Macaca fascicularis: one gene and its partners. The protein of the gene in region 1 purifies or fractionates together with the protein of each later gene. This does not show direct contact. Links are inferred from orthologs where the notes say so. Each region holds a gene or a part of one and is shown in the gene's direction. Other genes may lie near its edges.

Region 1 (3,984 bases):
GTGTTGCCGTGTAGCTTCCGTAACGCAAAATGGCGCTATTCTGATCAGCAGAGTTGACACAATCAAATAGCCACACGGCACGGAGACGCATGCGTGGCGACAACAACAACAAAAACCACCACCCACATTACTTGATGGCTCAGGCGTGCGCAAAGCTCCCGGTTCAGTTTCCCGCGCTGGAACTTTTCCAATAGTAAACGAGCAAAGCTCCGCGCGCCCAGGTGGCGCGAGCGCTAGGATCTGTCGGTTGGGGTCCTACTTTTACATAACGCCCCCACAATGCCCTTCGCCTTCCTCTACGTGGCCCCCGCTCCAAGCCCATTTTCTGGAGCTAGGAATCCACTCTCTGGGTTAGGAAAGGCCCTCAGGAGGCGGAGGGAAACCTGTGGAATGCCGAGAAGCCGTGTAATGAAATAACGTCACGCCTGCCCCTCACCATTACTCTGACCAGGGTTCGAAGGTCACACTTAGAGACTAAGGGGAAATGGAGAAGTGCAAGGGGACGAGCAGAATGGCTGGCACCACCTCAGGTTAGCGCACTGGGCCGTTCTGGTTCTCACCCAGCCCAGCCCAGCCCAGCCCAGCCCAGCCCAGCCCAGCCCAGCCCAGCCCTCCCAACCCAAGTCCCTACGCACGGAGCCAAGCCGCACCTCTCGCCTCATGAGGCCGGAGCCCGGAGTAAAACAGAAGGCCCGTCAAGGGTCTCTGGCGGGACTGACTCGCACTAGGGGCCCAACAGGCAATAAGGACCCAGCGCATTGGCCAAGGATAGGCCAGTCCCCAGGGAAGCAGCACCGCGTCGGGACTAGAGGGCAACTGTGAGGAGAGCTGCGAGGAGGGGTCCAGCCTGGCTCCCTCCTTTCCCCGCCCTAAGTCAGCTTCTTCGCCCAGTGAGCACACAACTGTATTGCCCAGGCTCCCAGGCCCCGAACGCCATACCTGGTTTCCGCTTCCGGTGGCTTCTCGTTGCGCCCCGCCCGCAAGCGTCCTCCTCCGGGGCTTCGTGACAGCCAGGTCGTGCGCGGGTCATCCTGGGATTGGTAGTTCGCTTTCCCTCACTTAGCCGGTTTCTCTCTCTACCGGGGACTCCGCGTCCCGGCATCCACCGCGGCACCTGACCCTTGGCGCTTGCGTGTTGCCCTCTTCCCCACCCTCCCCAATTTCCACTCCCCCCACCCCACTTCGCCTGCCGCGGTCGGGTCCGCGGCCTGCGCTGTAGCGGTCGCCGCCGTTCCTTCGAAGTAGCAACTTCCCTACCCCACCCCAGTCCTGGTCCCCGTCCAGCTGGTGAGTCTGAGGTCTTCGCTGCTCCTAGTCGCTTGTCGCTGGGAGCCGCACATGGGTCTCCGCACTTTGATATGGGGGCGGGGGGAGGAAGCAACCAGGTCCGGCAAGGAGGGAGAGGTGGCTTGAGGAGCGGAGGGGGGATGTGTGGAATCCGGTGAAAGGGACCTGACAGTCGCCCCCAACCCTTGAGAAAAGGAGGCGCCCGATTCTTGCTTGAGAGTGATAAACTTGGAAATCCTTGGGAAAGGCGCCGGGGTCGTGCAGAGACTTGCATTGGTACGGAGCCTGAGTCGAGGTCCCTGCCGGAGTTGACACAGAGAAGAGAGGGCCCTGGCTTTCGGGAGCTCCAGGGACGTGGGTCGGGCTGGTGGGTCAAAGTATCTGTTGGCTTCTTTCAAGTGGTGGGACCCCAAAGAATGTTTAACGTCAAAGAAAAGGGAACTGAGATGTAAATTGGAGGAGTTGGAGAGGAGTGCTTCAGAGTTTGGGATCCTTTAAGAAAGGGTGGTTCTAATGTGGGAGGAGGGAGGATACCCGAGGCAGGGAAGGAGAACTTGAGCTTTACTGACACTCTTTTTTTCAGCTGACGTGAAGATGAGCAGCTCAGAGGAGGTGTCCTGGATTTCCTGGTTCTGTGGGCTCCGTGGCAATGAATTCTTCTGTGAAGTGAGTTCTCTTCGACCTCCCTACTTGCTGGCTTCACATATCTTCCCACCAGATGTTCCTTCACGTATTCCACTTCTACACTGTTCTCTTACATACTACTTGAAAACTTCCCATCAACGAAGAGTCCCCTCAATAACCCCCGACGAACCTGTGCTAAAGTGGCAAAACTGGGGCCCAAGTTTCGACTCTGCCACCCTCCAGCAGGCAATTTGTGTCTTTTTCTTTATCTTTTTTTTGAGACTGGGTCTCACTGTGTCGCCCAGGCTGGAGTGTAGTGGTGCGATCTCGGCTCACTGCGACCTCTGCCCCCCAGGTTCAAGCGATTCTCCTGCTCCAGCCACCCAAGTAGCTGGGATTACAAGTACCCGCCACCACGCCCGGCTAATTTTTGGATTTTTAGTAGAGACAGGGTTTCACCATGTTGGCCAGGCTGGTCTCAAACTCCAGACCTCAGGTGATCTGCCCGCCTCAGCCTCCCAAAGTGCTGGGATTACAGGCATAAGCCATTGCGCCCAGCCTGTATCTTTTATTACTAAAGTTGTACTGCTAGTACCTGTCTCAGCTGGCTGTTAGGAAAATTGAAATGCTACGTATTGAAATGTTTTGTTCAGAAACCATGCCGTTCAGCTTCCATCCTCCTCAGCCAGCTGAGAGGACAAAACTGGTTCCTAGAGATGGAGTACAGGAGTAGGGACAGAGATCTTGAAAAGAATGTCTAAGAAAAAGATTGCTGTACCTGCTTATCCTTAGAAAAGAAAAGCCAAAGCTTTATGGGAGGGAGTATAGGTGAACTAGGGAGAGACGCAAGTACTTCTGCTGAGTTGGGAGTGAGAAACAAGCGGAACAGATGCAGTTGTGTTGATGATAAGGCATCAGTTAGAGCATTTTGCCCAGGTCAAAGATGGGGATTTTGATATGGGTTCCCTCTTGGCTTCCATGTCCCAACAGGTGGATGAAGACTACATCCAGGACAAATTTAATCTTACTGGACTCAATGAGCAGGTTCCTCACTATCGACAAGCTCTAGACATGATCTTGGACCTGGAGCCTGGTGAGGCACCCTCAGGGTTGTTTTGTGTGTGTGCATGCACTTTTTTTCTCTTCAAATCTATATTCACTTACTTGAATTTTGAAATTTCCTTTGGTTCTCTGATTTCTTTAACCCCAAATTCATGCTTTATTTTGATCCTCCACCTGACTGTGTCTAGTTTTGTGACGTATATCACTTGTTCCCATGTTTTCTAAATCCACAATTCAGATGTTTTCCAAAATATGTTTCCTCATGGGTCTGGTTTGCTATTTCTCCTGCTTTGCACCTTCCAGTCTAGAGTTTCATCTTTTGCATTGACATTGTTGCAGTTATGTATCGGGGAGGGAGCTGGGAGGGAGAGTGGGGAGCGGAGGCTAAAGAGGTGTGAAGAGAAGACAGAGCTGTCTTGGGTTGGCGCAAGGGTCAGAAGCCCAGGTTTCTGGGTCACATGCCCAGATGTTGGATGGGGTAAGGCCCAAAAGTAGGTGCCAGGCGAACTGAATAGCCCGCACCCCCTGGATATGGGCAGGGCACCTAGGAAAGCTGAAAAACAAGTGGTTGCATTTGGCCGGGCTGTGTTTCAGATGAAGAACTGGAAGACAACCCCAACCAGAGTGACCTGATTGAGCAGGCTGCCGAGATGCTTTATGGATTGATCCACGCCCGCTACATCCTTACCAACCGTGGCATTGCCCAGATGGTGAGGCCTCTCTGCTCCTAATTGCCTCCTTCTGAGCAGTAAGGGACACAGGTTCCTGCAGCAAGAAGTCATGTTTAAGCCTTGTTTAAGGAAACTGGCTGAGAAGAGGAGAAGAACCCCAGGCTTGGGCCTGGGAATTGAATTCTGATTGGGGGTCATCCTGAAGGGATAATTTTCAGGGAGGGAGACAGTCCTTGAACAGAGAGTTGTGATAGACTGCCTCTTCCTCAGGGAACAAACAACAAATGGCTCTGATGGTTTGTAGCCTGCCTAACTGGAAGAAAGGCAACATAGGAGTTTG
Region 2 (3,500 bases), on another chromosome or scaffold:
TTTTTTTAAGCCAGTCAAATAGCAGTGGGGGGATTGTATACCAACTTTAGTGACACTGATTTTAGTAAGTTCTGATAACCCACTACTATCGGACCAGCCTGGAGCACATTACTTTGGCCAGTGGAAAGTCTCTTGGAGAGACTTTGAGGTTTGTGATAACAAATCATGCTATCACTAAAGTTAAATACATATATATATATATATATATATACTCCTAGAATATAAGCAGAATGGAAAAGTTGGCAAGGATGAATTAGAGCATTGGAGTGAATTTTTTTCATTACAGAATTGTTAGTTCCTTTAGGAACTTAGTCTCGTAGATGTATATATTTAATTAGCATAACTTGGACAGCACAAGATTAATGCTTTAACTTGTTTGCAGGAGTTTAAAAAGCTGGTTTCTGTTGCCAATAGTTGGTTGGAAGGGAAAATGGAGATGCCACAAATAAAATTTTTTGGATGTGCAAAACAGTTTTGATTTTATTTCTTACAAACTATAGGACTCCAAGCCCCCTGATCCTTGATCAGAACTACATTAACACCAAAAATCAAGTTATCAAAGCAGAGAGGAGGGTGCTAAAGGAGTTGGGATTTTGTGTTCATGTCAAGCATCCTCATAAGGTGAGTTGTAGAGTACAGAAATTGGGTTCGTAAGTATTAGGACTTTTATAAAAATTCTATTTTATATGAATTTATGTTTCTATCTGAGCATTAACCTTGGTTTTAAAAAGCATTCCTTTAAAGGTTCAGGCTTCATCGAAAAACATTCTTTTGGATGTTGAGATTTATCAGTAAAGTGACAGTCAAAAATGTAGATTCAAATCTTAAATCTTAATTGTGTGCTCATAGAGAAGTTATTTTTGTTTCTGTGGTTAAAGTCCCAGTTTTTCCACCTAGAATACAGAGATGTAAAGTTCCTCATTCCAAGGAATAAATGTGTAGCTACAAAAATGTCTGGCACACTTACTGTCATAGTAGAATGTTCTAAGTGTGTTGGCTGCTCACTGTTAGCATTATCGGAAATTTGTTTCTCCCAACATCTCTTAGCTTTCTCTTACCGCAATATAAGCGGTAGAGTGAGTTACCCAGGTCAGGACTACCTGGGCTAGAAATGTACCTTGGGAAATTAGGTGAAATAATCTAGCACAGTGCCCATCACATAGTAAAGTGCCAATGAAAAATACTCTTTTAGTTTCCTTTTTTTCCTGTACAATTCTGAAATGTACTTCTAAACAGAATTTATATAAAATCTAGTCATATAACAGTTCACAATAGAATCTTACGTACATTTAAATTGGTCTGTATTATCGATGCAGAATTATAACTTGAATCTAACATTTTCAATTACTTTTTTCATTGAACTCTACTCGGAAAGAACTACCAGTATACTAAATTGAGTTTTTTTCCCTTGTCCTTCAGATCATTGTTATGTATTTACAAGTCTTAGAATGTGAACGTAATCAAACCCTGGTTCAAACTGCCTGGTAAGTCACTTTTTTAGATTTCTTTCCTAGCCAGGAAAACAGAAGCAGAAATAAAGTAAGTTTCATTTTCCCTTTCCAAAATAATGAGATAAGTTTGTTTGGGGCTTTTTGTTGTTTTTTGTTTTTGTTTTTTTTTTTAACCAAAAGGTAAATAATGCTTATTTCTGCTTCCTGTTTTCTTGGCTTGACTAATTACTTTTAATGGAGAACTCAATTTAACTTTGTTCTTTTTTCTACTCTTTAATTAAAGGGTAGTCCATGATGGTAAGTCATAGAACTCTGCCCTCTGCACTTCAGCCCATGACCTCAGGATGGCCTGATTGGCTACCCTGCTCTCCAGCCAATCCAGTGCAAGCTCTCATCCGAGATTCACTGAAGTGGTCCATATCCATCTGGCAGCATCTTCTAGTTCTGTCGGGGTGTCAAAAGGATTTGTATATTTGCTTCTAGAAGTAACTATTTGACATGCCTATGTATTTAATGTATACTTGTAACTATCAAAATGAATAGTTCATTTTTGATAGATTTGTTGTCCAGCCATTATGAATTAAATGGTTTCTTATTAGGAGTTTGACTAAATTTTTATTTTTAGTATGTATAGCGTGAATTCTACCAAAGGAGACTACAAACTTGCAGCTTAAAATGGGAACCAGTTCCCACACTGGCTTAATTTATATAACTGCTATAACTGCTTGGCTGTATTGCGGGTAATATTAGAAGCAAGAAGCACTTCATTTTTAAAAGAGATGTTACTATTATATTGCTTAAATGCCTTAGCACTTGGACTTTTTGAGATGCAGATGTGTGATTTAGAGTGCTGGCTTATTTAAAGGTCAAGCCAAGGAGTTTGTGGATCAGCCACAACTACTGTTTCCTAAGACTATTGATGTGAAGGACTTAGTGAAGTAATTTTTATATTTTGGACTTCCCAGCAAGATGTCCTTTTAATGACTGCCATGCTTCTTTTGGACTCAGTAAATATTTGTAATGTTAGAAAAGTCTCATTACTTTTATAAAATGCATGACATTTTAAGTATGTGTTGCATAAAATGGATTATAGCAGTTCTCATGGTTTAGGATTTTTAAGAAATAGTCCATTTAATTTCAGCTTAACCTTTTAAATGACCTGTAAAATTTCTTTAATAGTTTAGGAATGTTGTGGGGAGGGTTCATTAATAAAAGTTCAGCAATTTTTTAACTGAAGTAGTTTATCTCTTTTACCTAGTCACAAAAAAGGTATGTAAACAAGGCCATTATATATGTTTATTGCTCTTTACTTCCCTATCTAGATTTTCTAAATATCTTAATTTCTTAATATAAGTTTAACTTGTTACCTACTGAAAATGCCTTTTTACCCCTGTTAACGGTATTTTGAGCTTTTGAAAAGAACTTGGTTGACACTGCTTTTATTGTGGATAAAGGAGAGATGGTCAGTAATTAATGGCTTGAAGTATTATTGGAGTGGTTTATCATTTCTGAAACTAATCATGTCAGAATTGACTTTGAAAGCATTGCTTTTTACAGAAATATATTAACTTTAGGAGTAATTTCTAGTTGGATTGTAATACGAAATAATTTAAAAGAGCTTCGCTCATATATAGGAAAATTGCAAATGGTCCTACTATTAAATTCTTACTGCTTACTGATTTTTTTGAATTAAGAGTTGTTATATGCTAGAATTTGAGGATGTGAATATAAATAAGAGAAGAAAAAAGAATAAAGTAGATTGAGTCTCCAATTTTATGTAAGCTTCAGAAGAACTGGTTTGTTTACATACAAGCTTATAGTTGAAATATTTTTCAGGAATTACATGAATGACAGTCTTCGAACCAATGTTTTTGTTCGATTTCAACCAGAGACTATAGCATGTGCTTGCATCTACCTTGCAGCTAGAGCACTTCAGGTAGGTGTATATTTCCCATTTTGTTCTGTAGGATAAATCACACAAATTTTCGGTGGTTCCAATACAGATTTAGCAAAAATTTAACCTAAACCATTCTGTTCTTATGGTTTAGA
Region 3 (3,500 bases), on another chromosome or scaffold:
ATCTTTTCCAGACTCTGGGCGTAGTTGCTCACACCTGTAATCCCAGCACTTTGGGAGGCTGAGGCGAGCAGATCGCTTGAAGCCAGGAGTTCGAGACCAGTCTGGCCAACATAGTGAAACCCAGTCTCTACTAAAAATACCAAAATTAACTGGGTTTGGTGGCATGTGCCTGTAATCCCGGCTACTTGGGTGGCTAAGGCACGAGAATCACTTGAACCTGGGAGGTGGAGGTTGCAGTGCATCAAAATTGTGCCACTGCACTCCAGCCTGGGTGACAGAGCAAGACTGTCTCAAAAGGAAAAAAAGAAAATATTTTCCTGGATAACTCTCTATGCTATCTTCAAATCTCCCAAATTTGCTGTAGATCAACCTTGTATCTCCCCCATTGTCCCCCAAATAGGTTATTATTGAGGGCTGCAGTTTCTAATATGGTAGCTAGTAGCCACATGTGGCTAATTAAATTTAAATTAATTAAAATTTAAAATGTAGTTTCTCAGTCACACTAGGCACATTTCAAATGTTGAGAAGCTGCATGTAGCTAGTGGCTATCATATTAGACTGTAAAGATAAAGAAAATTTCTATCATTTCAGGAAATTCAATGGGACAGCATTAATTTTGAATACCATTAACCCTATAATTCATTGATTTATTATATTCTTCAAATGAACTAGCTATTTTCTAGGCTCCGAGGGACTAGGATGTTGGTGTTGTAATGGCAATACACAATCAGAACAGATCAGATACAGTGCCTCAGAGGTATCCCGGAAAGCAAGAGGTATATACTGTGTACCTGAGAAGTAGAATTCCAGAATAAGTGAAAAAGGTCGTAGTGTCAACAGTTTTTCACTCAATTTCCTTTCAAATGAATCTTCTTTGTCACGTCTTACTCTTTTCAGATTCACCTGGCATTCCACCTAGTGCTAATGCACATCAGCTTTTTCGGGGGTTTAGTTTTGTTGCTATTACCTCAGATGATGAAAGCCAGGCTATGCAGACAGTTGGTGTACATTCAATTGTTCAGGTGAGTGGATGTCTAAATAATTTTAGATTTGGAATGTTGTAAGATATAGTTCATTCTGTGAATAGATTTTTTTCTACTGACTTCAAGTGAGCAATTTAAAATACATTTTAGACCGGGCACTGTGGCTCACACCCGTAATCCCAGCACTTTGGGAGGCCGAGGCAGGTGGATCACTTGAGGTCAGAAGTTCAAGACCAGCCTGGCCAACATGGTGAAACCCCTATCTCTACTAAAAATACAAAAATGAGTTGGGCATGGTGGCGCGTGCCTGTAATTCCAGGTATTCAGGAGGCTGAGGCACAAGAATCACTTGATTTGGAGGCAGAGGTTGCAGTAAGCGGAGGTCGCACCACTGCACTCCAGCCTGGGTGACAGAGTTGAAACTGTCTCAAAAAATAAAATAAAATACATTTTATATCATTAACTTTACTCTTAGCAATTTTTTTCATATGTCATTGAAAAGGTTGCAAGAACCCAAATCCTAGATACCTATGTGACTTGAGTTTTAGGCCAGGCACGGTAGCTCAAGCTTGTAATCCCAGCACTTTGGGAGGCCGAGGCAGGCAGATCACGAGGTTAGGAGTTCGAGACCAGCCTGTCCAACACAGTGAAACCCTGTCCCTACTAAAAATACAAAAATTAGCTGGACATGGTGATGCATGCCTATAATCCCAGCTACTCTGGAGGCCGAGGCAGGAGAATCGCTTGAATCCAAGAGGCAGAGGTTGCAGTGAGCCAAGATCCACCACTGTACTCCAGCCTGGGCAACAGAGCTAGACTCTGTCTCAGAAAAAAAAAAAAAGAAAGTAGAATTTTAAAAGAGTTGAGATAAACATGACGATGTTGTCTATGTCCTCTCCTGTGCCTAAAAAATGTTTTTCATGCTGAATTTGTTTCACCCTCTGCCTCCTTCAGGTCAGCTATGATGAATTAAGGTCTTCTGGTTCTTCAATGTCTTAGAACAAGAGTCGGCAGACTTTCTCTGTGAAGTGTTAGATAATACTTGAGGCTTTGTGGGCTATATGGGCTCTGTCACAACTACTCAACTCTGCTATGTATCTCAAAACAGCCACAGACAATACATAAACAAGTGGGCATGGCTGTGTGCCAATAAAACTTTATTTACACACACGGGCAATGAATCAGATTTGGCTCACTGGCCATAGTTTGGCAACCTTTGCCTTAGAAAGATACAAGAAATAAAAATGAACTCAAATCTTAAGTCATCTTTCTAATCAAAGGGAACTAGATATATCTTTTGAAGCACTGGATTGTTTTTAGGATATCATTTGTACTTGGATTTGCTTGATGTTTAAGTTGCTTTTGCTCTAAAGTTTTTTCATGAGTTATCCTGTTTTCCATTTTGTAGAAAAACAATTAAAACACTGGTTTCTAAGCAGAGCTCGTGTTGAAATAGTCTGTGCCATTTACTATGCAAGCACGTGAATGTATGGCAAGTTTTTAAATTATAAATTCTGTACCTAACATAGAAACCACAAACATATATATTCTACAGAATTCAAATTTTAACATACACAAAGCTCATAGGCATGGATGTCTCATATCAGTATAGCCAAGGGCAACACAACTTTCCTCAGCCTGTTTATGGAATCAATAAGTTGCTGTTCATCATCTACTGTATGTTATTAGTCCCTAACCCATGACCAGCTTCTTTAGCAGAAGTTGTGTAAGGCTATGACTTCAGGATGAAGAAAGGAGGGTGTGGCTACTGAAAGTCCAAAATGTCGGTAACAGGTATTGCTTGCAAATACATTATTTTTATTTAATCTTCACCATTACCCTCTGAGAAAATACAGGCTCAAAGTTACATAGCCTGTAAGTGGTGCATCTGAGACAAGAATTCAGATATTCTAATTCTGAATCCTCCTAAATCCTTTCCTTCTATACCATAGGTTTCAAATTTCACATTTGCAAAGGTGCCTGAAAACCTATAGCCAATTGGGGAGTGGAATAAGGCTGAATCACAGACAAAGATACAGGCTCCATTTCAAGTAGCTCCGCTTTTAAAGTCATATTTCTTGCTGTACATTTCATTGTAAACACTTCCAAAATCACTTGTTTGTAGAAGAATAAGTACTATAAAGATGTATTTTTATTCTTATTCATTTATATGTAGAGCTTCAACAATGCATGCTGAGGAACATACTTCCCTATTATAAAATGCACTAAAGGCATTATGGGACTCTTCACCAATTTATAATTTTTTGTAGCAGTTACACAGGAACAGTATTCAGTTTACTGATGGATATGAAGTAAAAGAAGATATTGGAGTTGGCTCCTACTCTGTTTGCAAGAGATGTATACATAAAGCTACAAACATGGAGTTTGCAGTGAAGGTAAATATTTTTTTAGTTAAAATGCAATTTGTACAGTTCTTGTTCATGCATGTCAGTACCAGTTAAAAATTACACTCCTCTTGTTGTTAAAAGTGCCTTTTGTTATGAAAAAGTTAAATAT
Region 4 (3,500 bases), on another chromosome or scaffold:
CATTGAATTGTTTAATTCTCCCAGCAACCCAGTGAAATATAGCTGCTGTTGTTAACTTTCGTTTTTCAAAGGAAGAAACTAAGGCATAGTACATGTTGAACTGGGATGAAAATCCAAGTAGTCTGGCACCAAAATCTGACTCTTAACCATTGCCTTATGTTGCTTCTCTTATATAAAAACAGGAAAGAAAAAGTTGTTACTGTGACATTTCACATGTCCCTCTCCTGATCTTGTCTCAGTTGTTAACATCTATTAGGTGTACAAACCACTGGATAGGTTCTTCCTGTTGAGGTGATGGCTAAGTCCCATTTTTGTGTTCTTGGAATGTAAAATAATTTGAATGTTTTCATCTATTAGCAGAAATCAGAAATTGTGGACTAGAAAGCTGGGCTATGTCTGGAGGAGGTGGGGCAAGATTCAGAAGCTAGTTTTGTCTTTTTAAAAATATCTGTAGTAACTCACCTTTGATAAATATGTAAATATCTTCAGGCTCGTCAACCTCCCTTTATTCTCAAAAGTTTTACTTACCTTTTTTACACGTAAGACTATCTTGAAGGTGATATAACTGAAATGAATGGGCATTAGCAACCTGAAGTGTGCAGAACCGGTATTGTAGTCTGTATTCAAAATCTTAAATCCAGCTTTGATTTTCCTATAAAATGATCTTTTGATTCCCGGCCTTCAAAGAATAACCTGGCCTTGTGTTTTAGAGATAAAAGTATAACTTTGAGTTGGTGCAGAGATCACAGTGTAGTAGAACTTTATACCTGGAAGGATCTTAGTTGTTCTTAGTCCAGTTCTCATTTTACAGATGAAGACGTATGTTTAGAAAAAATGTGATTTGTCCAAGTTGTACAGCTAGTAAGAGAGAGAGTTATGACTAGAACAAGTCTTCTGACTCCTGGCCTATAATTCTTTGCACTATAAGTAGGCTTCCTGGAAATAGATGTTTCTAATATTTAATTTTCATTCATAGAGTACTATTTATAGTTTGCAGAATATTCTTAAAAATACAGATTTTAATAAAGGTATAGGTTACTTACTAATTGTATGTTGTGTATTAAATAGGAACCCTATAAGTATCTTTTTTAATAGTTACTCTTTCTCCTGTTTAATTATTTAGATCAAAAGGTCCCTTCAGCAAAGTTCGAACTGGCCCTGGAAGGGGTAGGAAACGAAAAATGACTCTTTCCAGCCAATCAGCATCATCATCATCAGAAGAAGGATATTTAGAACGGATAGATGGCTTGGACTTCTGCAGAGATAGCAGTGTCTCCTTGAAGTTCAACAAGAAAACCAAAGGGCTCATTGATGGCCTTACCAAATTTTTTACCCCTTCCCCTGATGGTCGGAAAGCTCGTGGGGAAGTGGTGGACTACTCTGAGCAATATCGAATCAGAAAGAGGGGCAACAGGAAATCAAGCACTTCAGATTGGCCCACAGGTAAGAGTTTAGAACAAACTTAGAAACAAATAGTATTCTGTACATGTATTATTTGGGATAACACTAATTATCTGTAATAGATTTATATTTGATTATAAAAAATTGGTTATATAATATAAGAACACATTAAAAAAACATATAGATGATACTGAGGTAGTAACTATGGCAGAAATTTAGAGGATGGAGATAAAGTTGCAGAATGGGACAACAGGAACTCTTAGGCAACAGGAAGCTGCTTTTTTATAGAAGCGCAGAGAATCTGCCTACAGAAACTTGGGGTGTAACCTTGAGGATTACTTTACATTTCATAAATTACTGAAGAAATCATATGGTGAATGTTGTGATGCCTGCTTATTCCAGGAAGGAAACTGGAAAGAATAGAGCTGGGTAAAATGCTGTTTATCTAAGCATAAAGAAAAGACCAAAATATATGCAGATGTGATGAGGTCATTGACTTTTCTACTTCAGATCTTGACAAATATAGTTGTAAGTCATGGATTGCACTTAAAAAGGGAGAGACAGAACGACAGCTCCAGGCTGCTTGTGTATCAGGCTAAGTTCCCTAGTTTTCAAAGTAGAAAACATCTATGGAGAGGACTTAATAATGTAGCAGATCATTCAAGTCAGAGGATAAGAATTTGATTAACTGTCTAATAAATTAAAGCTTAAAATAGCCTTATTGCTGAGCCTTGAATTTAGAGAAACTAACCCTGTGAAGGAAGTAGAAAGGGCTTGAAGAAAGTAGAATGAGAATGAACTCCTTTGGATCACAAAGGCCAGAGTTGTAGTGTCTCATCTACTGCAGGAGAATTCCCTGACCTTGGTTTCCTCCCTGAATGTCTCCTCGGTGAGTGAGAGTGTATTCACTGCTCTCATTCCTGCTTTCATAACTAGTTGATTGTCCAGTGCAGGAGAGAAAGTCCTTGTAATTGTTAGAGTCCCCTTTGTATGCTTTATTGATTGGTCTTTCACCATAGTGATGATCAGCTAATTACTCTTTAAGCATTCAAGACTCTTCATGTCTTTATCAGCCTGCAGATAAGCTCTGGGTCTGAGCATGTTTATCTAAGAAAATATGCAATCCGTTTAAACTTGGAAAGAATCTCAAAGTAAATCCTAATGAAAGACATTTTTGAATTAACCTTTTGTACTGGAGATGGTTTATTAGAAAAATTACTAGAAAGCTTTTGAAATAGAAATTGTTAGAGCAAATGTATCAAGTATATGGAGAACCAATATTGAATTTTAGGCAGTGGTGTGAGCATTTGCTTTAATAGGCTCTGTCATTTTCTTTATGAATTATAAAGTTTAACTACCGAATGCTGTATTAGAGAGGTGCCTGCATCATGCACTAGGGGGCGTTAAAGTCACATAGTACCTTTAGACTGTACTTTTTTCTTCCAGTTTGGGAATGTTGTCAACAGTGAGTCCTTGACCTTTTTCTTCTTGTGTTAGGTTAATAATAGATGGCCTATATGGGCAGTTGACTTGAGAAGAACTGTCACCAATTGGTCTTTTCAGCCATACTCATAAAAAGAGCAAATGAGCCCATCAGCAGTGTCATCTTCAACTGCAAAGGATAATGATCTGCATAATTCCCAAATAACTCTTTTCACTGGTTTTTTGCCCACTTGAGGAAGTTCCATCATTTTGTAGATAATTATCATACGTTTTCATATTTACCCAGATGATTATCATCTGTTATCCTCAGGTTTGTGGAGTTTGTGCTTTAAAAGGGCACCCAGAATGTGATGGGAGTTAGCACTTCTGACATCAGTTAAGGTAGCTCAAGAGGTTTTTTTGAACATTAATACATTAAACCTATACTAAAAGTGTCAAATTTATACTGTTTCAAAATGAAATTTATAATCCTTATACCATTTTTCTGTCTGCCTTTCTGTGTATTAAAATCTTTTAATGAAATTTAAATTTAGTTATATAATATTTTTAGGAAGCTTTAAGACAATTCAGGATTTCCACTATAAGGCAGATTTAATACATAAATATTATTTATTGAGTAGTATTCTTCTAGGAGTCAATTTAATGCTATATTCTTC
Region 5 (4,289 bases), on another chromosome or scaffold:
AAAATATGCAAAGGCCATTCGCTGCAGGAAACTGACTTATTGGTATTAAACAGGAGAAGGGGCTGGGTGTGGTGGCTTACACTTGTAATCCTAGCACTTTGGGAGGCTGAGGCGGGTGGAGAACCTGAGGTCAGGAGTTCGAGACTAGCCTGGCCAACATGGTGAAACCCTGTCTCTACTAAAAAATATTAAAAATTAGCCGGGCGTGGTGGCATGCGCCTGTAATCCCAGCTACTCGGGAGGCTGAGGCAGGAGAATCGCTTGAACTGGGGGGGCAGAGGTTGCAGTGAGCCAAGATGGCGCCACTACACTCCAGTCTGGGTGACAGAGCAAGACTCTGTCTCAAGAAAAAAACAAAACAAAACAGAACAAAAAACAAAGAAACAACAATAACAACAAAAAACAGGAGAAGGACCCAAGATGGTATCTCAGTAGTCAGGGCAGTATTCCCACAGCATTGGTTAGATCAGACTGTCATGGAATCTTTTAAAAACTCAGTGTGTTAGTCCACATTCACTCATTCATTTTCGGACAGTTGTGATCTTAGTAGTGATTTTTTCTTTGCTTTTCTTTTTTTCCTGCAAGAGGCTGGGCTCTTGTCACTACCCCACAACCTCTCAAATCCCTTGAGGACTCAGGTAGCAGAAAGTAAATACATGAATGAACGAGTGAAATAACATATACAGATAAACTACTTAGCTAGCACACACTACGTTCTCAGTGATTCTCAATGAGGCAGTGGTGGCTGTGGTTAAGAAGTAAGCTCTGCCTGTGTTGTAATCCAACACTGCCACTTACTTGGATGTGTCATCTTGGGCAGGTCACTCTGTGCCTCAGTTTCCACCTTTGCAACTTGGGGCTAGTAATGCCATCCAACTCATAGGGTTGTTATGAGTTGTAAAGAGGATTCATTGAATTTAACCCATTTAAATGCAAAGTGCCTGGTATGTAATAGGCATTCAATAAAAGTTATTTTCTTTTCATAATTATTCTTGTAGTTAGGGATGAAAAACTCGCACTCCTGTAGGCAGTCAGAAAAAATGAGTGAAGTGGGGGAACTAATGGGCCTGGTCTGAAGGGGGATACTGATGTTTAGGGGAGTACGGACTCAGTAGTGTAAGATTTTCAGAATCTCCTCTTGACGGGTCTCATCCGAGGTTCCAGCACAGCTCTGTAAAGGTGAAAGCTTTATTATTATTATTTTTCTTCTCAAAACACTGCAGTGCTTTGGGTGAGCGCGGGTCCTTGGCCAGATCTTGAGTCGTGAGATGCGTCTTCAGCATCTCCTGCTTCTCCTTGGGAAGCCCTCTACCCGCCAGTTGGCCCGCGCCCTCCTCCCCGTTCTCGGGGTTCGATCCACCTCCTTTCCCCTACCCTCCTAAGGGCTGACTGCAAATCGGAGGGCGACTGCAGAGGCGGAATTCGGGGCAGAGCGGCGTCTCCCCTGCGGGCCCCGTCCCACCAGCAGGTGGCGGTCGATCTGCAAGGCCTGCAAGGTGCCCCGGCAGAAACTTGAGCAGATGTTGGTGCCGCTGCCCAAGAAGACCTCAGCCTAGTCTCCCCGAGCCCGGCTGAGTCTCCGCGAGCCCAGCTGTCCGCATCCGCGAAAAAGCGGGGAGAGAAGGGCGCGGGCCCTCCGGAGGCTGGAGCGACTCAAAGATTCAGACACCGCGAGCTGCTTTCGGAAGGGCTTCAGGAGGGGGTGAGTACTGAGCAGCGCACAGAAAAGGGAGCGCTGTCCTTTGTTGAAGGCATTGTCCTTGTCTTGCATTGAGTGGCTTTCACACACCCCGGGAAAGACATTTCTGGAAGGAGACAGTCTCAACAGAAGGAGGGAGCGCGGGAAAGAAGCCCGGGGAGCTGGCGCCTTTACGCCCCGCGGTCTGCAGCGGGAGGAGCGCGGGTTCCATCGCGCCAGATGGCGCTGTCTGGCTTTTCTCGGGCCTCGGGCGCCAGTCTCCAGAGGTCCCCGGCGCAGCAGCCTCTCTAGCCGGCCGACGCAGGCTCTGTGTTTCCGGGCGGAAGTGAGGCGCCGAGCGGAACGGCCTCTGGTGACATTTTCTTGGGGGCGGCGCGGACGACTGAAGGGACTTGGTGGTAGAGGCTGCGGAGGCGGCGAGGTTCACTTTGATCCCGGCAGGGGCTCTGACCGCGACCCTCTGCTCGCCGCCGGCGCTTGTTCCGAGGAGGAGAAGGCGGCGGTGGCCGTCGCGTCCTGAGTCACCGCAGCGGGGAGAGTCCCAGCCGGGGGGTCGGTGCGTGCCCCGACGGGGCGCGCGCGGAGCGAGCGAGGAGGCACGGAGTCGCAGCGGAGCGCAGGTGAGGCGGGAAGGGGCGCAGGGCCGCGGCCTGGCTACTGGTCGAGTTGCGGAGCCCGGGCTGCGTCCCAGGGATGCGTCGGGGCGAGTCGGAGGGCTGCGGGCCGCGGTGAGGGCTCTGCGGCGTCCGGACGCTGGGATCCTGGCGGGCCCGGCTGGTGGGCGCCGGGAACTCGCAGCCTGGACTGGCGTCTGACGCGGGGGCATCGCACCGCTCCAACCTCCTTGCTCGTCAGCCGCTGGTGACCCTAGCGTCCTCCCGGCCCGGCGGAGTTGGCTACGGCACCCCAAGCCCCCAGACGCTGGGGCCGGGTCGAGGCAAGTCCTTTTCCGTGGGGTACTAAGGAGAGGCTGGAGGTGCCGCAGTCCCCGGGCTGCGGGGGGAAGCGGCTTCACGGCGTTGGAGTTGTCTTCACGCAACTTTCTGGCTCCTAGGCCCGCCTGGGAAGCAGTGGCGGCAACTCCGCCAGCTCCGCGAGCCGGGGGTCTGGCGCCGATACCTGCCCCTGCAGTGGAGAGCTCCAGGGCTGCGGCCGCAGTGGCCTTGGAGGAGGGAGAAAAGGCTTTCTTAGGCTTGGCGCCGCCTGCCTCTCGGCGTTTCCACTACCTTCGGTCGGCAGGCGCCTCCGGTCAATGGGAGAGATGTGTCAGTCTCCAAAATTGACCGCTTCTGGGGAGTTCGTCAACTTTATTTCAAAACCGGTGAGGATGTACACTGACGAACCCGGCTTAAAGACTATCGCCTTTACGCAAGCCATTCATTCTCACTTTTAAATTGTCCGCCTACCCCCCACCCCACTCCGTCCCCGGCAGCCCCCATCACAAAATTGATGTTCGCAGGTTGAAGTAGAGAACATCGGTAGGAGCCCTCCCAGATAGATCCTTGAGCAGTTTCGGCTTGGATGGGTTTTTCGTTTTTTGCCTGACCTTTTGCTTTTTGAATCCTCCCACCCAGTAAAATTAAAATCCCACTGATAATACTTCGTCAAGGTTGGACTTCTTAATTACAAATACATCTGCCAATTTTGCTTAGGCTATTATTGTGTAGTATTGGGTACATGCTAACAGTTTGAATCACTCCCTTTCTTCTCTTGGGATATTTTAAGGATGGAAGCTATTAACTTTCTAATGTAGTTTTGCTGATCCTGGCAATCTAGATTCCTCCAGTAATCAGAGCATTGCCTTTTGGTTTAACAAGCATTTTTAGAGGCCTGCAATTGATAGTTACTACCTGATGTCCTGAGGAGTCACATCGCTATTTTATTTATTTATTTATTTATTTGAGACGGAGTCTGCTCTGTAGCCCAGGCTGGAGTTCAGTGGTGTGATCTCTGCTCACTGCAACCTCCGCCTCCCGGGTCCTGGTTCAAGCAATTATCCTGCCTCAGCCTCCCGAGTAGCTGGGATTACGGACACGAGCCACGCCCAGCTAATTTTTGTATTTTTAGTAGAGACGGGGTTTCACCACGTTGGCCAGGCTGCTCTTGAACTCCTGACCTCGTGATCCGCTCTCCTCAGCTTCCCAAAGTGCTGGAATTACAGGCGTGAGCCACCGCGCCCGGCCTGAATCAGATTTCTTAATGGGAAAAATTTTTTTTCTGACACATTTTTGGGAAAATTTTTTTTTCTGACACCTTTTTGTGAAAAATGGGATGGACTGGACATTGGAGCTGGAAACTTTCCCCATTGTTAGAATAAGTTCACAGTGTAGTTGTTACTTACTCACTTTATATTACTTTAACATGCATCTATTTGAGAGTAGCTGTCATAATCTTTGTTTTATGGTTATCATGATTAATTCAAAACCCATATAGTAAAGATAAATTCAGCTTTAGGTTCTAATTTAATGCAGTTCCTTTAGGACTGAGGGCTAATGCATGTCCTTCAAAGGTTTCTTGCTCCTAATGTTAATAGTGACATTGGTACTTTCAGTCTTTTTATTGTATGACTAGTAAATTCTGTGCGCTTGTG
Region 6 (4,060 bases), on another chromosome or scaffold:
CTGCTCCTCGGGAGCTGCTGGTAGTTGTCGTAATAAACACGGAACCCACGATGAAACGTGAAGACGCTCCTCAGTGAGCATCCTTGGGCAGTGCACAACCTCCCCAGCCATGCCAGCCCGCGCTCAGGCCTCCCCCGTCTTCCCCATCTCTCCGGTGTCGGTTCTCAAGCTCGTCCTTCCCCGCCTCATTCCTCCAAAAGTCCTCAGCAAATCCTGGCAACTCCGCCTTCAGCATCTACCGGGAGCGGGCACTTCCCACACCCGGGCCCCAGCCCCGGCAGCCCCTGCACCGGGCGCCCGCGGGTCTCTGGCGCCCGCTCTGGACGCCTCCCCAGCGCTCCCCGCAGCGGCCAGGGGGTCTCGCGAGCCTGCGCCTGCTCGGGACCCCCAGAGCCTCCCCGGGTGCGCTGCAGCCACGCGGGCCTGCGTCCCGAGGCCCGTACGGCTTCTGCGCGACATCCTCAGGGCCACCCGGCGCCAAATCCACACGGGACGGCACGGCCGCGTCCTGCCGAGCCCGCCTAGTTCGCCAGCGCGCACGTTTCACCGCGCCTGCTGCGGGACGGACAGACGTGTGGCTAGGTTGGAATAGCCGGCTCACTGAAGGCTCCCGCAGTGTTTGGTCAGAGGAGCGCGGCGCTAGTAGCAGCGGACGCCAGGACAGCCCTCCCCAGGGCTCCGGCCGCGCGCGGGCCTGCGAAGGGGCTGCGGGCAGGGGGGCGGGGTTGCAGTGCGGGGGCGGGGCTGCGAGGGTGGGGCGGGGCTGCGGAGCAGCGGGCGCCAGACGGGGCTGCGAGGGTGGGGGCGGGGCCGTGGGGCTGCGGGCCCGAGGCGGGGCGGGGCTGCGGGCGTGGGGGCGGAGCTGCGGGCGCGGGGTGGGGCGGGGCTGAGGGTGTGGGGGCGGGGCTACGTGCGTGGGGGCGGGGTGGGGCTGCGGGCCCGAGGAGACACAGGGCTGCGGGCGTGGGGGCGGAGCTGACGTACAGGAAGCAGCTCCCATTCGCTCTGGGCGGTGGGCGGAGATCCGGGCGGTACCAGCTGTCCCGGCCGCGGGGGGGGAGGGCCTCGACCAGCCCACGGTCGGGGGTTAAACAGTACGAGCTTTTCCAGGATACTGATCTCTCCGGGCAGCAGTCCTGCATTAGACAGTGTTTCCAAGGTGGAAGGGAAACCGTTTAAACGCCTCGAGATCCCTGGCTGCAGGGAGTGGTACCTTCCTCATTTCAGCCATTTATTTCCCGCTCTGGTCCCAGTGGTTCCAGTCAACGGGCGGGACGGGACGCAGGGGCCCGGAAGAGGCGCCGTGCACTTCCGGGTCGAAGAGCGCGCGGCGGCGGCGGCTGCGGCCGGGCCGGGCCTAGTAGCGACTCTCGGTCGGGCAGCGGCGGCGAGCCCTCAGGAGCGGCTGCGGGACGCGAGGTTTCCGGGTACGTGCGGCGGCCGCGCCGGCCCTGGGGTCCCTGCTCCTCCGGGCCGCGGGCCGCCTGTGGGCGCCACGCGCTTTGTCTGCGGCCTGCACCGTGGGGCGAGGCCTGCTCCGCGCTGGCCGCGGGCCGGGAGGGCGGGCGGGCGCGCGCGCTGGGAGGCCCCGCCGAGACTGGGAGGCCCGTGGCCTGCGGGCGGACGTCCGGGGCTTGCGGGGACGCGGCGGGAGCCCACCTGCCTCGCCCCGTGGCACCCACGCGCGTGCCCCCTGCGAGTCCGCCCTGCCGCGTTTGGAAGAGCGCTGTGACTTCGCTGCCTTGTTGCCAGCCTCTGTGCGTGGTTGCCTTCATGGGCTTCGAGCCTTGTCTGCATGTCCACAGGCCCGTGTGGCTGGCGGTTTTCCTATTCCTTAACTCTTGCAGTTCTCACAACAGCCCCTCTGGAGTAGGCATTGTTCCCGTTTTACCGATGAGGGGATTGGAGCCCAGAAAGGCTAAGTAACTGGCCCGCGCCACACAGTCGGGGAGGGGCAGAGCCGGCGGCCGGGTCCGCGCCAGCCCCGACTCCGACCGTGCTCTTTTTGACGCTGCTTGTGTTACCCCTTCTTTGGAGTTTCCGCGCTTTACTTGTTTCGACAACAGCAGAACAGCAGTCAGCTGGGTGAACCACATTGTGGCCTGTGGTCACTGGACAGGCTCTGAAGCTGAGCTGAGGTTTGACTTCGGGGTTGGCATACTTGACCTCTCTCCTGGACCACCCGGTTTTCTTTCTTATGGGAAGAATGTTAAGTCAGAGTACTAGTGGATGGATGACGCCTCAGCATCATGGCTACGACAAGCCTGGCCGTGGCCCTCAGCAGCGCTGTGTTCATCTCAGGCCCGCGGAGACCTTTGTTCATACCTGACTTTTTGACTATCATTGCAGTTTACAGTTTTGAGGTCTCCTAGCTGATACAGCAAATGGTGAATACAAGAATAAAAGTTGGCCTGAGTTGAGATGTTGGACTTGGCTGCAGGCTTGTTCAGTGCCTGAGATGGGCACTCAGGTTCGAGGACTGGCATGGAAAGGGATTGCAGGCACCCCGGACACCAAAGGCCCTTTTCATTCCTCAGTAACAATTGGGACTGCCAGTGCGTTGGTTCCCCTGAATTCGAAGAGAGAGAGAAATAGCGTTTCCGGTTTTCTTTTCCCCTTTAATCCCCCAATCTGGAGTCTAAGCAGGAGAACCACAGTGGTCCCTCCACCCCAGAGCTCTGCTAGCCCAGCCGAAGGTGGCCAACAGCTGGGAAGGGCTGTGGTCTTTTCTGCGGAAATGGCTTCCTGGCCTGTGGCCTGGGACACGGCAGAGGTGGATATGGGGAAGGGAAGATGTGGAGCTGGGGCTGCTGGTGCAACCAGGAGGTCCTAAACTAGGGGTTCCCATTAACCCGCATCCTGACTGCGGGGTTCTTGGTGGTCCCAAAATGTCTTGTTTCTGGTGGTTGTGCTGGAGGGTATCTGCAGAGACTTCCTGGGTTATTTTCTCGTCTTTGGCAAAATAACCCCTAGTTACTGTTGTGGGATACCCAGGAAAGGATGTTGTTCAGCCTCACATAACCTGAACCTTCCTGCTGCTGTGGTGGAGGATTGTAAGAGGCCCATGGAGGCTTCCCTCACCAGCTGTGGTAAAGTTCAAAGGCCTCAGGACTTAGCCCCACAGGTACACGGACTCGCAGAGTTCAGCCTCTTTCCTGAGCTGGTATTTCTGGCGAGCTCCTATGTGCCAAACCCCACATGGCCTCACTGGTCTCTTCTGGCAGCCCTGGGGCAGGCCCAGCCATTGCCTGTCGCCCTTCCTAACCCTTGGAGGTGGTCCTCAATCTCAGTGCATCAAGGGAGAAGCCAGGAGCTATTTGTTCACATATTATGGCTCACTGCAGCCTCAACCTCCTGAAGTGAAGTGATCTTTGCACCTCAGACTCCCAAGTAGCTGAGACTACAGGCGGTTTCCACCACACCTAGCTGGTTTTTAAATTTTTTTGTAGAGACAGGGTTTCGCCATGTTGCCCAGGCTGGTCTCCTAACTCGCAGGCTCAAGTGATCTGCCTGCCTCGGCCTCCCAAAGTGCTTGGATTACAGGCGTGAGCCACCGCACCGGCTAATTCACTTTTTTTTTTTTTTTTTTTTTTAAAGGAGACAGAGTGTCGCTCTGTCACCCAGGCTGGAGTGTAGTGGCGCGATCTCAGCTCACTGCAACCTCTGCCTGCCAGGTTTAAGCAATTCTCCTGCCTCAGCCTCCCGAGTGGCTGGGACTCAGGCGCATGCCACCACGCCCAGTTCATTTTTTGTATTTTGGTAGAGATGGGGTTTCATTGTGTTGCCTAGGCTGGTCTCGAACTCCTGAGCTCAGGCAATCTGCCCGTCTTGGCCTCCGAAAGTGTTAGGATGACAGGCGTGAGCCACCGCGCCCGGCTGCCGATTCACTTTTTTTTTTTGAGACGGGAGTCTCGCTGTGTCGCCCGGGCTGGAGTGCAGTGGTATGATCTCCACTCACTGCAAGCTCCACCTCCCAGGTTCATGCCATTCTCCTGCCTCAGCCTCCCGAGTAGCTGGGACTACAGGCACCTGCCACCGCGCCCGGCTAGTTTTTTGTATT
Region 7 (3,975 bases), on another chromosome or scaffold:
CACCATGTTAGCCAGGATGGTCTCAATCCCCCGACCTCAGGTGATCTGCCCGACTTGGCCTCCCAAAGTGCTGGGTTTACAGGCATGAGCCGCCTCGCCCGGCCCGATAACGTTATTATTAACTAAAGTTGATACTTTATCCAGATTTCCTTAATTTTTACCTAATGTTCTTTTTTTAATTGCAGTGTCACACCCAGGATACCGTATTACATTGTCATGCCTCCTCAGGCTTCTCCTGGCTCTGAGTTTCTTATACTTCCCTTACCTTTGCTGATCTTAACAATTTTGAAGAATACTGGTCATGTACTCTGCAGAATGTCCCTCAATTAGGGTTTGTCTGATTTGTTTCTTATAATTAGACTGGGTTATGAGATTTGTTAGGAAAGTAGCATAAAGTGCCATTCTCATCATATATCAGTCCACATACTATCAACATGATTTAGCACATAGTCTTGATCACCTGGCTGAATTACTGTTTGCCAGGTTTCCCCACTGTAAAATCACTCATTTTCCCCTTTACAGATGTTGTACTTTTGGGAAGGAAGTCACTATGCACAGCCCACATTTAAGGAGGTGGAAGTTATGCTCCAGGATGGCTGTCTACATAAGTTATTTGAGATTCTTCTGTGGGGGATTTATCTCTTCTTCCTCATTCGTTAATTTATTCAATCACTTATTTATATCGGTATGGGCTCATGAATATTTCTTTTATACTTTGAGTTATAATCCAATATCACTTGTTTTATTGCTCAAGGCAATTTGTAATGTTCTGAGTAACTCAGTGAAGAACCACCCCTCCCAATGTTTGTACCAGCTCACAGGGTAGACGTCATTAAGATCCTTTTCTCTTCAACTTCATAGGCCCATTAAAAAGGTCAGAAAGCAAGGGGGAAGCTGACACCCCTGCCTAGCGCCCAATTTCTGGACGCCCATAAGGAAGATGAGGCCAGCATGCAGGGGTCTTTCCCCACATGGGCACCTCAACCCGTGAAACGCCCTTTCCCGGCCAGACCTTACTCAGCACCCCTCCTTGTCCCCTGCCCCATCTTCTGGCTTCCTGTGGCTCCGCCCACCACGGGGCGGAAGTGGGTGTGGCCACGGGCGGAAGCAATGGGTCAGGGGCCCAATCTTGCAGCCAGCCCCTCCCACTCGCCGCCGCCCCACCCCTCCGGCCCAGACCGGAAATGAGGTCAGAGAGGGAAGCCCTGGCGGTGAGAGTCGGCCCAAAAAGCGGCGGCCGTTGGAGGTGGCTGCGGCAGCTGGTGAGGGGGAGGAGTGGTTTTAGTGTTGGGGTCCTGGGGGCTAGTACCAGAGGGGATCGGAGCGCCAAGCCGCGGCTGAGCGGCTAAGGGCGTCTTGGGGCTGCGGCAGCTGGCCGGAGGGTGAGGGTGGTGGGGCCTTGCTTTTCAGGGCCCTTGTCACCATCCCTGGGGATGTGGGTCGGGCCGTCTTCGGGGCCACAGCCCCCTCTTCCTCTTTCTTCTTTCTGCCTCTCTGGGGCTGGCGGCAGCGTGAGGGCTTGGTGTCCCGAGCCATGGTCGCCCCAGCCCTCAGGGACGGGCCGGGGCGAGGTGGAGAGTCCTTCGAAACACAGTTTTTCTCACATATGTGGCCGTGTTGCGACCCCCGATCCCGGAGGGAGCTCAGTCGCCACGACTTGCATTTTTTCAGTTTCTGCCCTAGAAGAGCCGACCCCCGCCCCTGGTGAGCCCAAATGAGAAGTTGCCTCCTGCCTCTCCCACCTCCTACTCCGCCCCTCACTTCCACCCTGCTCCTGTTTCTCTTCTTACTTGCTGTCCACCAGCTGCCCTACCCGTTCCTTCCTGTGCGTGACTCAGCCTCATCTCTACCCGGGTGCGTGCCTGGACGCCGGGTCCTCTCGAGAGTGTGCACCCGCGACTGGAGATGGGGGGAGCCCTAGGGTTCTTCTGTCACCCACTGTTCGAATTACAGGCTTTGAGGCAGGAAAGGATTCTGCACAAGCATTCGACTACCAGTTGTTTGGTGACTTCGTTCCGTGTTCAAGTTTGTGCTATTCTGCCTGAGGTTTTTATTTGTTATTATTATTATTTTTTTGTATTTTAGTTGCCTGAGTTTTTAAAGCAGTAATTCTTTATTAGGGAAGTAGATTTAGGCATGCTGTTCCCACTTGTTTCTTTATTTTGGTCTTAGGGACAGTTGTCTCCCAAACCTCAATCATGGCATTTTAATCCACTTTTTTTTTTTTTTCCATTTTTTCCCCTTCTTTTCACAGCTGTTAATAAATCACTTCTTAATGCTTAAAAGAACTTGGTCTTGTTTAAATGTATGTGCCTTTGGACACTTTGAGAAGCTTCGTTTGTATGGTAGTTTTGGAAGTAGGTGTCACCATTGCTCCTACAGGTGTGGCAGATAAGCCCCAGGACTGTTTTCCTGTCTTTAAATTCATTGGCATAGGCACAGCGTGAAAACAGGTTTTAGAAAGCCCTTTGCAAAGTGAAAACTGAATGAATGGGAATATGGTGAGAGAGCGGCACCACATAGAATTTTAACATGATATTGAAATACTTTGGGCATAGAGGCAAGGGAAAAGTGCTAAAAGTTTAATGTGTATTTAATTAGCTGCTATACAAATTAAACATTTCCCCTTAAGAGGGAATTTTGAAGATTGTTCCTACTACTCTCATTTGTTGAAATGTTTGCCTCTGAAGTGACTCCTGAAGTGTGATGTTTGGTTTGAGGATAAACAGAAAAATAAGAAATTTTGGAAAGCAGTTCAGCCAGAAATCTTAGAAACTTCACCCTATCCCTGTCATTTCAGCTGCTGTTGTATCCTATTTTTGTGTGATTGTGTGGCACTGAAGCACATAACTAGGACGGACATTCGGACATTTATTTTCTGAAGAGTAGGAGAGGGGCTTAAAAATTGTTAATTATTCAAAAATATATGACCTACTGTATAAGGTTCTATACCTGGTAGCTTCCAGGTGGTAGTTGGTACCAGAATGGGTGCAAACTTAGTCTCTTCTCCATTCTGACTTCAAACCTGGCCACTACAATTTCTTGGATCATGAAAACTGCATTCTTCCTTAAAGGGTATCACTAAGTTGTCTTTCTGTTTCTTTCTGCCATGGTCATTGTCAGCAGTGACCCCAGGCCAAAGAACAGTTTTTCATTCATTCTCAATACCTCGATGAGACCGTGTCCTGCTCTGTGTTTCTGCAACTCTAGTGTGATTTTGAAGTTGTATGTTTTTCTACTCCTGTCTAGTGAGACAGCCTCTAATCTTTCTGGATCTCATCATTAGGTAATTCAGTGACAAGTTTAACTGGGGAAAAGTGAGAAGGATCTAGTCCCCCGAATTTGTTTTGGGTCCTGTCCCAGTTGTCATCTGGTGAGTAGGTTTTTGTGCTTAAGAATATGTTGACTTCAGGCGTTTAACAAGGGACAAAACATCTATTTTTAGTGGCTTTAGGAAGTGGTAGGAACAGAATCTAAGTGTAGCCAGATGAAAGGTGACTTATTTCATTTAGACAGGCAGTACTGTGGACTACCATGATCTGTTTCATCAAATTATTCCGAAACAACAGATCCTTTTCAGGCTTTCTTTTTCTTTTTCTTTTCTTTCTCCCCCCCACCCCCCGCCAAACTTCCTTTTGGCAGATGTGGCCTCATGGATGAGCTGGTACACGACTTAGCCTCAGCCTTGGAGCAGACATCTGAGCAGAATAAGCTTGGTGAGCTGTGGGAGGAGATGGCCCTGAGCCCCCGGCAGCAGAGGAGGCAGCTTCGGAAACGCCGAGGTCGGAAGCGTCGTTCTGACTTCACTCACCTGGCAGAGCATACCTGCTGCTACAGCGAGGCCTCTGAGTCAAGTCTGGATGAGGCCACTAAGGACTGTCGAGAAGTGGCTCCCGTGACCAATTTTAGTGACTCTGATGACACAATGGTGGCCAAACGACACCCAGCTCTCAATGCCATTGTTAAGAGTAAGCA

Evidence for each region.
Region 2: the proteins of CSNK2B (region 1) and CCNL1 purify together in Homo sapiens (co-immunoprecipitation; 3 studies listed by BioGRID and IntAct, with this or other methods). This does not show direct contact. The link is inferred for Macaca fascicularis from reciprocal best matches to the Homo sapiens genes CSNK2B and CCNL1.
Region 3: the proteins of CSNK2B (region 1) and RPS6KA3 purify together in Homo sapiens (affinity purification with mass spectrometry; 5 studies listed by BioGRID and IntAct, with this or other methods). This does not show direct contact. The link is inferred for Macaca fascicularis from reciprocal best matches to the Homo sapiens genes CSNK2B and RPS6KA3.
Region 4: the proteins of CSNK2B (region 1) and KAT6A purify together in Homo sapiens (affinity purification with mass spectrometry; 3 studies listed by BioGRID and IntAct, with this or other methods). This does not show direct contact. The link is inferred for Macaca fascicularis from reciprocal best matches to the Homo sapiens genes CSNK2B and KAT6A.
Region 5: the proteins of CSNK2B (region 1) and ARK2N purify together in Homo sapiens (co-immunoprecipitation; 3 studies listed by BioGRID and IntAct, with this or other methods). This does not show direct contact. The link is inferred for Macaca fascicularis from reciprocal best matches to the Homo sapiens genes CSNK2B and ARK2N.
Region 6: the proteins of CSNK2B (region 1) and PHRF1 purify together in Homo sapiens (affinity purification with mass spectrometry; 3 studies listed by BioGRID and IntAct, with this or other methods). This does not show direct contact. The link is inferred for Macaca fascicularis from reciprocal best matches to the Homo sapiens genes CSNK2B and PHRF1.
Region 7: the proteins of CSNK2B (region 1) and GPATCH2L purify together in Homo sapiens (co-immunoprecipitation; 3 studies listed by BioGRID and IntAct, with this or other methods). This does not show direct contact. The link is inferred for Macaca fascicularis from reciprocal best matches to the Homo sapiens genes CSNK2B and GPATCH2L.

The regions. Positions count from the first base shown.
Region 1 is NC_088378.1:140,054,121-140,058,104, reverse strand, and holds the start of CSNK2B (casein kinase II subunit beta), read left to right. Parts: upstream 1-1,184; 5' UTR 1,185-1,287; intron 1,288-1,870; 5' UTR 1,871-1,881; coding exon 1,882-1,953; intron 1,954-2,901; coding exon 2,902-3,004; intron 3,005-3,567; coding exon 3,568-3,683; intron 3,684-3,984. UniProt on the Homo sapiens protein: Regulatory subunit of casein kinase II/CK2.
Region 2 is NC_088376.1:60,118,865-60,122,364, reverse strand, and holds part of CCNL1 (cyclin-L1), read left to right. Parts: intron 1-500; coding exon 501-621; intron 622-1,419; coding exon 1,420-1,484; intron 1,485-1,734; exon of another isoform or gene 1,735-3,287; coding exon 3,288-3,387; intron 3,388-3,499; coding exon 3,500-3,500. UniProt on the Homo sapiens protein: Involved in pre-mRNA splicing. Functions in association with cyclin-dependent kinases (CDKs). Inhibited by the CDK-specific inhibitor CDKN1A/p21. May play a role in the regulation of RNA polymerase II (pol II).
Region 3 is NC_088395.1:20,038,703-20,042,202, reverse strand, and holds part of RPS6KA3 (ribosomal protein S6 kinase alpha-3), read left to right. Parts: intron 1-897; coding exon 898-1,022; intron 1,023-3,253; coding exon 3,254-3,379; intron 3,380-3,500. UniProt on the Homo sapiens protein: Serine/threonine-protein kinase that acts downstream of ERK (MAPK1/ERK2 and MAPK3/ERK1) signaling and mediates mitogenic and stress-induced activation of the transcription factors CREB1, ETV1/ER81 and NR4A1/NUR77, regulates translation through RPS6 and EIF4B phosphorylation, and mediates cellular proliferation, survival, and differentiation by modulating mTOR signaling and repressing pro-apoptotic function of BAD and DAPK1.
Region 4 is NC_088382.1:45,478,714-45,482,213, reverse strand, and holds part of KAT6A (histone acetyltransferase KAT6A), read left to right. Parts: intron 1-1,123; coding exon 1,124-1,443; intron 1,444-3,500. UniProt on the Homo sapiens protein: Histone acetyltransferase that acetylates lysine residues in histone H3 and histone H4 (in vitro). Component of the MOZ/MORF complex which has a histone H3 acetyltransferase activity. May act as a transcriptional coactivator for RUNX1 and RUNX2.
Region 5 is NC_088392.1:43,648,450-43,652,738, reverse strand, and holds the start of ARK2N (protein ARK2N), read left to right. Parts: upstream 1-1,489; 5' UTR 1,490-1,702; intron 1,703-2,053; exon of another isoform or gene 2,054-2,319; intron 2,320-4,289. UniProt on the Homo sapiens protein: AMPK substrate important for exercise capacity and skeletal muscle function.
Region 6 is NC_088388.1:473,208-477,267, forward strand, and holds the start of PHRF1 (PHD and RING finger domain-containing protein 1), read left to right. Parts: upstream 1-1,260; 5' UTR 1,261-1,427; intron 1,428-4,060.
Region 7 is NC_088381.1:144,121,254-144,125,228, forward strand, and holds the start of GPATCH2L (G patch domain-containing protein 2-like), read left to right. Parts: upstream 1-1,175; 5' UTR 1,176-1,184; coding exon 1,185-1,262; exon of another isoform or gene 1,263-1,374; intron 1,375-1,804; coding exon 1,805-1,854; exon of another isoform or gene 1,855-2,046; intron 2,047-3,642; coding exon 3,643-3,975.